Saccharomyces cerevisiae S288C: one gene and its partners. The gene in region 3 interacts genetically with the main gene of each other region. Each region holds a gene or a part of one and is shown on either strand. Other genes may lie near its edges.

Region 1 (3,385 bases), on a different chromosome or scaffold from region 3:
ATCCGGAGCTCCGTGGAATAGGCGAGCGGCTGAGTGGTTCTCCAAGCTACGGTTTTTACGTGTAGCCCCATGTGAGCAAGCCAAACAAGGGCCCTTAAAGGCGTGACTACAAAAAGGGGCGGGTTGGAAGGTCATCTGCAGCGAGATACGAAAAGATTTTTTGCCAGATTTGCGGTTGGGCGGCTATTTCGGTATTGTTGGGGTAACAAACGTTGGGGAAGACTGCATTTTCTTACAGCTTTTTTTCGTTATCGCGGGTTGGGCGGCTATGGCGCCTTCTCCTCTGTACTCCAACCTGTCAGAGACACCAAGCTGTATATAAAGCACCTTGGTTGGATCGTATTTCCCTGAGATCTTGCTATAGGTTCATTTTATATATCGTCCAATAGCAATAACAATACAACAGAAACTACTAGCATCTGTTTATAAGAAAAAGGCAAATAGTCGACAGCTAACACAGATATAACTAAACAACCACAAAACAACTCATATACAAACAAATAATATGTCTGACAAGGAACAAACGAGCGGAAACACAGATTTGGAGAATGCACCAGCAGGATACTATAGTTCCCATGATAACGACGTTAATGGCGTTGCAGAAGATGAACGTCCATCTCATGATTCGTTGGGCAAGATTTACACTGGAGGTGATAACAATGAATATATCTATATTGGGCGTCAAAAGTTTTTGAAGAGCGACTTATACCAAGCCTTTGGTGGTACCTTGAATCCAGGGTTAGCTCCTGCTCCAGTGCACAAATTTGCTAATCCTGCGCCCTTAGGTCTTTCAGCCTTCGCGTTGACGACATTTGTGCTGTCCATGTTCAATGCGAGAGCGCAAGGGATCACTGTTCCTAATGTTGTCGTCGGTTGTGCTATGTTTTATGGTGGTTTGGTGCAATTGATTGCTGGTATTTGGGAGATAGCTTTGGAAAATACTTTTGGTGGTACCGCATTATGTTCTTACGGTGGGTTTTGGTTGAGTTTCGCTGCAATTTACATTCCTTGGTTTGGTATCTTGGAAGCTTACGAAGACAATGAATCTGATTTGAATAATGCTTTAGGATTTTATTTGTTGGGGTGGGCCATCTTTACGTTTGGTTTAACCGTTTGTACCATGAAATCCACTGTTATGTTCTTTTTGTTGTTCTTCTTACTAGCATTAACTTTCCTACTGTTGTCTATTGGTCACTTTGCTAATAGACTTGGTGTCACAAGAGCTGGTGGTGTCCTGGGAGTTGTTGTTGCTTTCATTGCTTGGTACAACGCATATGCAGGTGTTGCTACAAAGCAGAATTCATATGTACTGGCTCGTCCATTCCCATTACCATCTACTGAAAGGGTAATCTTTTAAGAGCACGACCTACTAATAACGAGAACTATTGAAATAAAAAAGAGTAGTTTTTTATTTTTCAATTTTTTAATATGATAATTATTTTATGACTTATATAACCACACCAACTAATCGTACTTTTATATGTTTAAATAGAATGGCTGTTTCAGTCGTACACTATTAATAACATTATGTTACTTCGCAATTAAATGTTTTTCAAAGCTAAAACTTCAAAACAAGATATAAACAATGTACAAAAATGATTACGAAAATATAGATGATGTAAGCAAGGTACGGTTATAAACAGTTAACATATAAGTTTACTTCACTTTTTTGCTGACTCCTTTACTTGTCTTCCCTGCACTTTGATTTTACTTCAGAAAAAATAAGATATATGTTTCTGATAAAACTTTTAGGTTAGCGGAGAAGATGTTGCCACGAATATCATGTAATTGAAAGGCAACGAAAGGTCTATCGTTTGCCATTCATAATGTGATTCGACTTGTCTTTTTCATTGTAACAGACATGAAACGTTTCCTTTACGTCCCTATGAATTTTTGTTGGCTGAACTGGGCGCTGCAGGGGCTGGACGATCCAAATGCGCGGATTTTGAACAATTATGAGAATCCGAATTAAAAGAAAGGGAAAACAAATTTAATAACAGGCAGACGTGAGAGAAGAAAAGGAAACGCTGTGATATAGAAAACTATACAAATCCTATTATAAGAAGCCAGAAGAAAGCTGATACAAGATGAGTTGGGAAGGTTTTAAGAAAGCTATCAACAGAGCTGGTCACAGTGTGATAATTAAGAATGTCGACAAGACCATTGATAAAGAGTATGACATGGAAGAACGTCGTTATAAAGTTCTTCAAAGAGCAGGTGAGGCATTACAAAAGGAAGCCAAAGGTTTCTTGGACTCATTGAGAGCTGTGACAGCATCACAGACTACCATTGCCGAGGTCATCTCTAACCTCTATGACGATTCAAAATATGTTGCTGGTGGTGGTTACAACGTTGGTAACTATTATTTGCAATGTGTTCAAGATTTTGATAGCGAAACTGTTAAGCAATTAGACGGGCCCTTAAGAGAAACCGTACTAGATCCAATAACAAAGTTTTCGACGTATTTCAAAGAAATTGAGGAGGCCATAAAAAAGAGAGACCATAAGAAACAAGACTTCGATGCTGCGAAGGCAAAAGTTCGTAGATTAGTGGACAAACCTGCTAAAGATGCCTCTAAACTGCCAAGGGCTGAAAAAGAATTGAGCTTAGCTAAAGATATTTTCGAAAATCTTAATAACCAATTGAAAACTGAACTACCACAGTTAGTTTCATTAAGAGTACCTTACTTTGACCCAAGTTTTGAAGCTTTAATCAAGATTCAGCTAAGGTTCTGTACTGATGGTTACACTCGTTTAGCGCAGATTCAACAATATTTGGACCAACAATCAAGAGACGACTATGCCAATGGGTTATTAGACACTAAAATCGAAGAACTATTAGGACAAATGACAAGCCTAGATATTTGTGCGCTCGGGATAAAATAAATTAATGCTTTTGCCTTTAGTTTTTTACGGTCATTTATGTTTCTTTCATTTAAATTAACAGACCTAAATAGCACTATAATTTACTATCTGCTCTATCTGACCAACCGACTCTTTTTAAGAAAGCAATTAAAAAGCGATAATAACCGCGGGCATGTGTTTTTGTTAACATGAACACAATAAACGTAAGAATGTCTAGCAATAAATTCAAAATTATTATCTTTTTTTTTTTTATTGTTATGTACTATTTTTTTTTTTAAATAAGGTTACAATTCTTTTTTAATTAATGGGATTTACCAATTTGAACGTGATCCGTAATCAGCCAAACGGGATATAAAAGTAGAACAATAGAAGCGAGGAATAAGATACGAATGCCGGATAACAAAGCATTCCTTAGTGTACTAGATTAAGTAAAAAATACCGAATTGTTCCAAAATATCGTGATATTTGAAAGTGAAGTACTCGTTTATTTCAATGCGCGCCCATTATGGCAGCATTTTATC
Region 2 (3,348 bases), on a different chromosome or scaffold from region 3:
TCTTTTGGAAAAACCGATTGATCTATCATTAAAACCTAACGATCCCGAAGCTGAAAAGGAAGTTATTGATACCGTACTAGAATTGATCCAGAATTCGAAAAACCCTGTTATACTATCGGATGCCTGTGCTTCTAGGCACAACGTTAAAAAAGAAACCCAGAAGTTAATTGATTTGACGCAATTCCCAGCTTTTGTGACACCTCTAGGTAAAGGGTCAATAGATGAACAGCATCCCAGATATGGCGGTGTTTATGTGGGAACGCTGTCCAAACAAGACGTGAAACAGGCCGTTGAGTCGGCTGATTTGATCCTTTCGGTCGGTGCTTTGCTCTCTGATTTTAACACAGGTTCGTTTTCCTACTCCTACAAGACTAAAAATGTAGTGGAGTTTCATTCCGATTACGTAAAGGTGAAGAACGCTACGTTCCTCGGTGTACAAATGAAATTTGCACTACAAAACTTACTGAAGGTTATTCCCGATGTTGTTAAGGGCTACAAGAGCGTTCCCGTACCAACCAAAACTCCCGCAAACAAAGGTGTACCTGCTAGCACGCCCTTGAAACAAGAGTGGTTGTGGAACGAATTGTCCAAATTCTTGCAAGAAGGTGATGTTATCATTTCCGAGACCGGCACGTCTGCCTTCGGTATCAATCAAACTATCTTTCCTAAGGACGCCTACGGTATCTCGCAGGTGTTGTGGGGGTCCATCGGTTTTACAACAGGAGCAACTTTAGGTGCTGCCTTTGCCGCTGAGGAGATTGACCCCAACAAGAGAGTCATCTTATTCATAGGTGACGGGTCTTTGCAGTTAACCGTCCAAGAAATCTCCACCATGATCAGATGGGGGTTAAAGCCGTATCTTTTTGTCCTTAACAACGACGGCTACACTATCGAAAAGCTGATTCATGGGCCTCACGCAGAGTACAACGAAATCCAGACCTGGGATCACCTCGCCCTGTTGCCCGCATTTGGTGCGAAAAAGTACGAAAATCACAAGATCGCCACTACGGGTGAGTGGGATGCCTTAACCACTGATTCAGAGTTCCAGAAAAACTCGGTGATCAGACTAATTGAACTGAAACTGCCCGTCTTTGATGCTCCGGAAAGTTTGATCAAACAAGCGCAATTGACTGCCGCTACAAATGCCAAACAATAAGCCATTAGTAGTGTACTCAAACGAATTATTGTTGCAAATAAATAAACTTACACAGTTTGAATACATAAATCAATCAGACAAATAAATACATCGGTTCAAATTATACTAAATCTAAATACTACGTTATCGCCGTGAATTACGCAATTCGCATGTTACGTACTGCGCGTCTCTTGTTGAATATTTACCAATTGGGAAAAAGAACTCGTATTTCATTCCCCTTTTTGGAAAGGGGTGGGGAGAGACTGTTGTTCAGCCACGTCAATTATTATTTTTTCTTTGGCCCTGCGCTTGTCTTATAAAATTCCGCAGCCGCCTCTTATTTTTTTTTTTTTCGATTTTTGGCCCACAGGTCATATTGCAAAAACCGAATGGCCGCGCCCCCCTCACGCACGGGACGGAAGAAGGGCGGCGTCCCCTGTTTTTCTGCTTTGGCTCATCTCTTTGGCTCCGACGGACGAAAGACGGGATTCCCCCTCCCGTGTCTTTTTATAAATAACAAGTGCTCATTCTGCATCCTTCCTTGTTTCCCGTCGTTTGGGTACAATGCGTTGATTATCCCAACCCAAGAAAGAAAATTTGTCTCACATCTGCATCTGCACATTTATTTACCTATACTTTTCCATTGTTAGCAGTATTGCAAAGTGAAGAATATATCAGCATCAAGTATATAGTATGCACAGAACTTACTCTTTAAGAAATTCCAGGGCACCTACCGCCTCTCAATTACAGAACCCACCGCCACCACCATCTACAACCAAAGGTAGATTCTTTGGGAAGGGTGGTCTAGCTTACAGCTTTAGGAGAAGTGCTGCTGGAGCTTTTGGCCCAGAATTATCCAGAAAGTTGTCTCAATTGGTTAAGATTGAAAAGAATGTTTTGAGGTCCATGGAATTGACAGCCAACGAAAGACGTGACGCTGCTAAGCAATTGTCTATTTGGGGGTTGGAAAACGATGACGATGTTTCCGACATCACTGATAAATTAGGTGTCTTGATCTATGAAGTTAGTGAATTAGACGACCAATTTATCGATCGTTATGACCAATACAGATTGACTCTAAAGTCCATCAGAGATATCGAAGGTTCTGTTCAACCATCTAGAGACCGTAAGGACAAGATCACCGACAAAATCGCCTACTTGAAATACAAAGATCCTCAATCACCTAAGATTGAGGTCTTGGAACAAGAATTGGTGCGTGCTGAGGCTGAATCTTTGGTCGCTGAAGCTCAATTATCTAATATCACAAGGTCAAAGTTGAGAGCTGCTTTCAACTACCAATTTGACTCCATCATCGAACATTCAGAGAAAATTGCTTTAATCGCTGGTTACGGTAAGGCTCTCTTGGAACTATTGGACGACTCTCCTGTCACTCCAGGTGAAACCAGGCCTGCTTACGATGGGTATGAAGCCTCTAAACAAATCATTATTGATGCTGAAAGCGCACTGAATGAATGGACACTAGACTCTGCCCAAGTCAAGCCTACTTTAAGTTTCAAGCAGGATTACGAAGACTTCGAACCTGAAGAAGGCGAAGAAGAGGAAGAGGAAGACGGTCAAGGCAGGTGGTCCGAAGACGAACAAGAAGATGGACAAATTGAAGAACCTGAACAAGAAGAAGAAGGTGCTGTTGAAGAACATGAACAAGTCGGACACCAGCAAAGTGAGTCTCTTCCCCAACAAACAACAGCTTAATCAAAATAAATCAACAATCTATTAGAAACAAAAAAAAAAAAACCAGCAGAAAAGAACAAGTTACCATACTAATTAATCTCTTTTAATTAATGCGTGGACAGATAATCATTTCTGTTCCCTCACTCTGAAAAAATTGTTTTATTTTCCTATTTTTTTTTTCATCTATTATTGTATTTTGCCCTCTCCTCACTCCTTACTTTAGTCTATTATCAATATCTCTTCCCCCTCCTAAATATGTACTCTTTTATTTTTTTTAATTGTGAAGGAACAATTCAAGTTAGAACTCTTTTGATAGGAAACATTATTTCCTGTGTAGCCTAATGTTTAATGCCTAATTTTTTTCTAAAATGCAGCAACATACATATGTTGAGTCGTATAGACATCTATATATAACAAGCACAGAACCGTCTAATTGGTATTTTTCAGGACATTTTAAACATCCGTACAACGAGAACCCATACATTACTTTTTTTAATATTCTTTTTGTTTTCACCGCCTTC
Region 3 (5,990 bases):
GACTTCATCCTTATGCTAATCCTGTACCGAATTCCGACAATGGAAATGAGCAGAATACAACAGACCATAATAGTAAAGATGCAGAAGTTAGTTCTGTGTATTTTGATGAAATTGTATTCAATGAGCCAAATGAAGAGTTTTTCAAAATTTTAATGAGCCGACCAGGAAATTTGTTACCTTCAAACAAAACTGATGATTGTGTATACTCCAAGCAATTAGAACAGGAAGAAATTGACAGAATAGAGATCGGCATAGAAAAGGTTGACAAGGAAATTGACGAATTGAAGCAGAAACTGGAAAACTTGGTAAAACAAGAAGCCATTAACGGAAGTTAGGATCACTGCACCCGGAACAACGGTATTTTCATAACAGCCATAGTAATACAGATCATGGTTTGAAAGGTCGGCGCTCACAAAACCGAAATGTGTGCAGAGTCATATAAACATCTAAACAACAGTTATGATACATATTCTATAAATGCGTAATTTTAGTAACACAATTTAATTGGGGTCGCAAGGCTTCAATGGATGAACGCTTAGCTTCTCTAGTTCAGGGTTCTTCGCAGGAACTTTTGGTTTAGACTTTTTCTTGCAAGGGAGTTCCTCTTCAGATTTTGAATTCGACGGGGAAACTTTTATTGAGTGTTCTTGAGAGGTGTTAAGCTTGTTAGCAGCAACACTTAAATAATGCGGTTTTTTGACAACTGGTGGCTTCTCAGGTTTTGTGGAGGCCTTTGCTGGCTCAGGATCTTCTGTAGTGGACACACCTGAATTTTTGGTAGATGTAGAGATTTCGTCCGGGGCAGTACTGCTCTTCCTTCTAATAGGAGGACAAGGTCGAGGAACAATTTTCCCATTATCTATGGTCTCTTTAGCATGCTGTAATTCTGAAGAACTTTTCTGTAAAGAGACTGGCTTAGATAAAGATAAAGCGGGCACTGGCGGCAGTGGTTTGGGTGTACTGTGTCTCTCTAAGGCAGGAAGATTGCTCTCACCTTTACGCGGCGATACGCTGACAATGGAAATCTCTTTGGTAGGGGAAAGAAGTTTAGAAGATGGTTCCTTATTGTGCCTCGAGGTAGGAGGAGGCGGAGGAAGCACATTGAGCTTACTTTTATCGGGTGATACGTTACTGAGTCCTCCAGGGCCAACAACAGACGGTTGGGGACTGGGACCAGAAAGTAGAGGCGAAACGCACGAGGAAGTATCATCTAGGTCAATTAGTTTTATGCCCGCTGATTGAACGGTTGCATCTAAGGGTATACTTTCCTTTTGTTTTTCCATTCTTGCATGAGAAAGTTCGTCAGGACCTGTAGTTAGTGCTTCGGGATGCGTATTCTTATATTCTGCATACAGCTTCTCAACTAGGTTAAGCTTCTCTTTTTCGTCAACAAATTTCACATTTGCCCTATATGCAGCATAAACTGGTTTATGATCGCTTATTTTTAAAGGTGCGTCCGAATATGCCAATGGATGCAGGTTTTCACCTTTATATATGATTCTATCAGTCCAAGACGGAGTTCTCGCCTTTTCAGAAGTATCATAATTATCTGTGCCATAATCATATTTATAGGTCGGACGGAATTGGAGGGTCGGTTCTTTAAAGCCCTGAAATACCACTCCTTCATTTATTTCTTGAGTCAACTGATCATATTGAAGCAATCTATCAATATAGCCATCCTTTTGAGCCCTTAATTCTCTTCTAACTTCATCATTTGTCAAAGTTATCCTGTAGTTAAGGTCACCCAACCAAAACAACGAATCATGGTGTGGAATTGTCTTTGATCTTGGAAAGGTTATGTTCCTGTAGATATTGTTGTAGTCATTGCGACGTTCGTCAATGTTACTCGCACCTGCTGATAAATGTGTATTAACGAAACAGAATGAAGTTGCCCCATAATCGAATCTAATGGCTACTGCACCTTTGTTTCCAGTAATACCACCAAACCCAGTCTTTTTGGTAGACCCACCTACCTCTTTTATGTTATAGGCTCTATCTGATCTTGCAAAAAATAGTATCAAAAGAGAGGACATCTGTTCCACTCTAAGTAAAAGATATTTTTCTTCGTATTGATTCAAACAGTCAGTAACCATAGTTTCCCAAAAAGAACTTTTCGTATAATCTGCATTCAAGATAGACCCTGCGGTCAACTCTATAACTTCCTGCAACCCTAACACAACGACATCAGGTTTGAATTTATCGCCGATTGGAAATAACCATTTTGACAAATCTGCTCTTCGAGAGTTTCCGTTAACATTGAATGTACCGACAAACAAATTTATGTTAGAATGAGTGGTGAATTTTTCCTCTGACTCTAACAGCCTTTCATTGACGTATTCGCAGATTGGATCATAAAGTTCAACAACTTGCTGGTGCGGTAGTTTGCCCAAAAGTGTGTCAATATTTTGCTGTTTTCCTTTATCTACAAAATTGTTGATGTACATTCTACTAACGGACTTCGTCGCATCAGAAAGGGCGCCAGAAAAAGACATTTTACCTTTCCTTGAATAGGACGATTTCAGAGCATTTGTCCCAGTGTAAATTTGTGATATCTGATCTCCGTTGTCGGCCCATAAAGCATTCACCTTTTGCACAAATTCATTATCGTCGATGAAACTACTGGGTTTTACCAATCGGAAGTCTTCCAAAAATAGTTTGAAAACGGCCAGTGAAATCGTCTGTTGGATCAAATTTGTTCTATCTAAACAATCCAAGCAATTGGTTCTAAAGACACCGTCTTGTTCGGATATTAATCGCCCTTCTTTTACATCGTATGAAAAGTAACCGGCGTCCAAAATTGTGTTTCTTATTTTAGGGATAATCCTACTTGCAGCTGCAAACCCATCTTGCGAAGTTTCTCTATGGAAATCAAAGCTTGTTAGGAACACATCTCTACCGATTTTCATTTTCTCAGAATTTTTCAACTGTTCCTTGTATCGCCTCGATAATTGAATTTCTGAAGATTTAGTAGACAGCAGGTTGATTATATGAACTGGCCCATACTTCTTAAATAGTCTTATAAAATGTTCATCAAACGTGGGCTGTGTTGCTTCAACAGATCTGGTAATTTGAATCTTTGGACTAATCAAAGATGTATCCTGCTCCCAAAAAATTGGAAGGCTTCCTCTTATCTGCGTGAAAGCATAACAATACTGAGAAGAGTACATAATCATTTCTGTTTCAACAAAATTTGCGACATGGCCATCATCATCTATACCACGTGCATTAAACCTTGTGCCTGCTCTTTTCCAACTTTGCCTGGAAATAATGGTAAGTCCTACTTTCAACCTATTAATATAGCTAAAAATTGTTTCAGCAAACCCTCGGATTACGGTCGTGAGGAATCCTCGTTGATCCAATAGTTCTTTGGCCGTTACATCTAGTCTGTCTCTGTATGTGATGATTTCGTCCATAAGAAACGAGTTCCACATAAACTCCCGGTCAAAATCATCAAAACTCAAAGAGTGTTCCGTGAATCCACGTTTCTGCAATGTACAAGTTAAATCAAAATCGGTGCTGTAATAAAAAGATCCATTTGATAATAGCTTTCTTAGTTCATGACATGGATGCTTGGGAGCTTGTTCTTGAGCATTCAAACTCCTAGAGGAAGAAGAACGTAGCGATGATCTAGAAGAATGTGTGGAAATACTAGGAGGCGAGCTTATTGCAAAATCTCCATCATTAGTAACAATCGGATAACCGGATGAATCGATGTCCATGAAATCCCATTTAGAATTATTTAAGCAAAAAAAATCCACAGCATATATTTTGTTAACCGTTTTGTTTGGGATCGGCTGGGCCACCTTAGATTTACCTGTTATGGTTGCTATGAACATAAGGCCTTCAATTTCTATGAGACCAATAAAACCGTATATTTCATGGTTAGATAGTCTTCTGAAACCATTACCATTTAATTCAGCTTTCGGAACCAATTCCACGGCACATGTAGATCTGCGAGAGTTCTTACTGTTTATTGGCCTAAATACCAGTCCATGTGTTTCTGAAACTATTGCTATCTTTCTAGTTTGCTGTTTCGATAGGAGTATTTTCATAGCTACTGAGTATTTGTTTTTGATTCTGCTGCCTTTGCGTGGCCTTTGTCACCAATTCTGCGAACAAAAATATGTTGAGACTATATGAAGCGAGTACTTATTGTCCTTTATGCCTAGTTTTCCAGTTAAATCTCTCTTAATAACTCCAGGTTTGTTTCAATTTCGTCACTAACCGCCAAACAAGTTTCGGGTCACCCCACACGTATTTGGTTCAAGAATATACTAAAAAAAGAAAAACAAGCACTAGCCCTAGATATGGAAAAAAAGATATTAAAACGTAATTCTAATTTAGACATCCGTGCTTCTAGTAATTATATGGTTAAAAAAAAAGGAAAGGAAGTAAATAAATAAGTATAGAAATAAATAGAAGCGAATAAGTCCTGAAATACAGAAAAGTTCTTATGCAGAGCCAGATGCCGCAGCATTCTTACCTTCGACCTCGGCCAAAGATGGAATGGACACATCACCAGAATGGATAATATTGTTAATGGTGGCAAAGATGGCTCTCACTGAAGAATCACCGACATCTTCGGAGACACCTACACCCCATTTGTAGGCCTTTTCGTTGTCGGCATTACGCCTATACGATAGATGGATGTAAGAAGCAGCTTGCGTAGAAGAACCAGAACCTAGAGAATGCTCTGTGTAGTTTGCTACGGCAAATCTCACGTTCAACAAGTTTGATAGGGCGTCGACCAAAGAAGAGATTGGACCATTACCTGTACCTTCAATATCGACGATCTGGTCGCCTACTTTGACTTGACCAGTGAACACTCTACGTTCAGTGCCGAATTTTTCAACATTATAATTGACTAAACTAATAGCTTGGTACTGTTCGTCATTGTAGTTGTAAGCCTCTTTGAATAACTTGGAAATCTCATCTGATTTTAGTTCTCTACCCAAGGAGTCAGCATGGTCTTGAACGGCGCTAGAAAATTCGATTTGCATGTTTCTTGGTAGATCCAAACCCAAAGATCTCAAAATAACCCAAGCGGCACCACCTTTACCAGACTGAGAGTTGACTCTGATGACAGCTTCGTAATCACGGCCAATGTCCTTTGGATCCAATGGCAAGTATGGGATTCTCCATTGAGTTTCACCTTGAGCACGCTTCTTGTTTTGTAAGTTGAAACCCTTCTTAATGGCGTCTTGGTGAGAACCGGAAAAGGCACAAACGACCAAGTCACCGCCGTATGGTGCTCTTTGCGATACTGGGATCTTATTACAACGCTCAACCACATCTAGGACAGAGGTCAAGTCAGAGAAATCCAAATTAGGAGAAACACCTTGGGTATACATATTCATAGCAACAGTAACCAAGTCCACATTACCTGTACGTTCACCATTACCAAAGAGACATCCTTCTACACGGTCGGCACCTGCAAGCATACCTAACTCTGTGGCGGCGACACCGCAACCACGGTCATTGTGACAATGTGTAGAGATGCAAACCTTCTCACGCTCAGTAATATGGGTAGCGAAGTATTCAATCTGATCAGCATAAACATTTGGAGAGGCAACTTCTACGGTAGCAGGTAAGTTGAAAATGATTGGATTTTCCTCGGTAGGTTCCCAAGCCTTCTTAACAGCTTCGCAAATTTCTACAGCAAATTCACCTGGAGTATCACTGAAACATTCGGGGGAAAACTCATAGGACCAACGAGTGGCTTGTTGGGAAGGGTCATCCTTAGTTAGTTTCCTAACTAGTTTGGTGGCCTCTACTGCCTTGGAAATAGCTTCCTCTCTAGACATATTAAAAACAATTTCACGGAACATATCACTTGTTGCCAAGTAAGTATGTATAGTAGCCTTTTTAGCACCTGTTAATGCTTCCACCGTTCTCTTAATCAAGTGTTCTCTAGATTGGACAAGACATTGAATACTAACATCGTCTGGGGCGTTTTCTACAGCATATCTAGTGAAGTCGAAATCTGTTTG

The links. Genes that interact genetically often act in the same process or in processes that back each other up.
Region 1: mutations in INP52 (region 3) and RVS161 impair growth when combined (synthetic growth defect), as found in Saccharomyces cerevisiae (4 studies listed by BioGRID, with this or other methods).
Region 2: mutations in INP52 (region 3) and PIL1 together harm fitness more than expected from each alone (negative genetic interaction), as found in Saccharomyces cerevisiae (7 studies listed by BioGRID, with this or other methods).

Annotation. Positions count from the first base shown.
Region 1 is NC_001135.5:130,245-133,629, reverse strand, and holds RVS161 (amphiphysin-like protein RVS161), read left to right. Parts: upstream 1-2,087; coding exon 2,088-2,885; downstream 2,886-3,385. Other genes in the region: ADY2 (Ady2p), read left to right, coding at 506-1,357; serine/threonine protein kinase SAT4, read right to left, coding at 3,349-3,385. UniProt on the Saccharomyces cerevisiae protein: Component of a cytoskeletal structure that is required for the formation of endocytic vesicles at the plasma membrane level.
Region 2 is NC_001139.9:649,098-652,445, reverse strand, and holds PIL1 (lipid-binding protein PIL1), read left to right. Parts: upstream 1-1,828; coding exon 1,829-2,848; downstream 2,849-3,348. Other genes in the region: PDC6 (indolepyruvate decarboxylase 6), read left to right, coding at 1-1,156. UniProt on the Saccharomyces cerevisiae protein: Negative regulator of cell wall integrity (CWI) in unstressed cells, probably by inhibiting protein kinase PKH1/PHK2 activity and regulating their downstream CWI pathways PKC1-MAP kinase pathway and protein kinase YPK1 pathway.
Region 3 is NC_001146.8:420,444-426,433, forward strand, and holds INP52 (phosphatidylinositol-3-/phosphoinositide 5-phosphatase INP52), read right to left. Parts: upstream 4,053-5,990; coding exon 501-4,052; downstream 1-500. Other genes in the region: YEATS domain-containing protein YAF9, read left to right, coding at 1-335; 2-isopropylmalate synthase LEU4, read right to left, coding at 4,452-5,990. UniProt on the Saccharomyces cerevisiae protein: Dephosphorylates a number of phosphatidylinositols (PIs) like phosphatidylinositol 4,5-bisphosphate (PtdIns(4,5)P2), but also phosphatidylinositol 3-phosphate (PtdIns(3)P), phosphatidylinositol 4-phosphate (PtdIns(4)P), and phosphatidylinositol 3,5-bisphosphate (PtdIns(3,5)P2).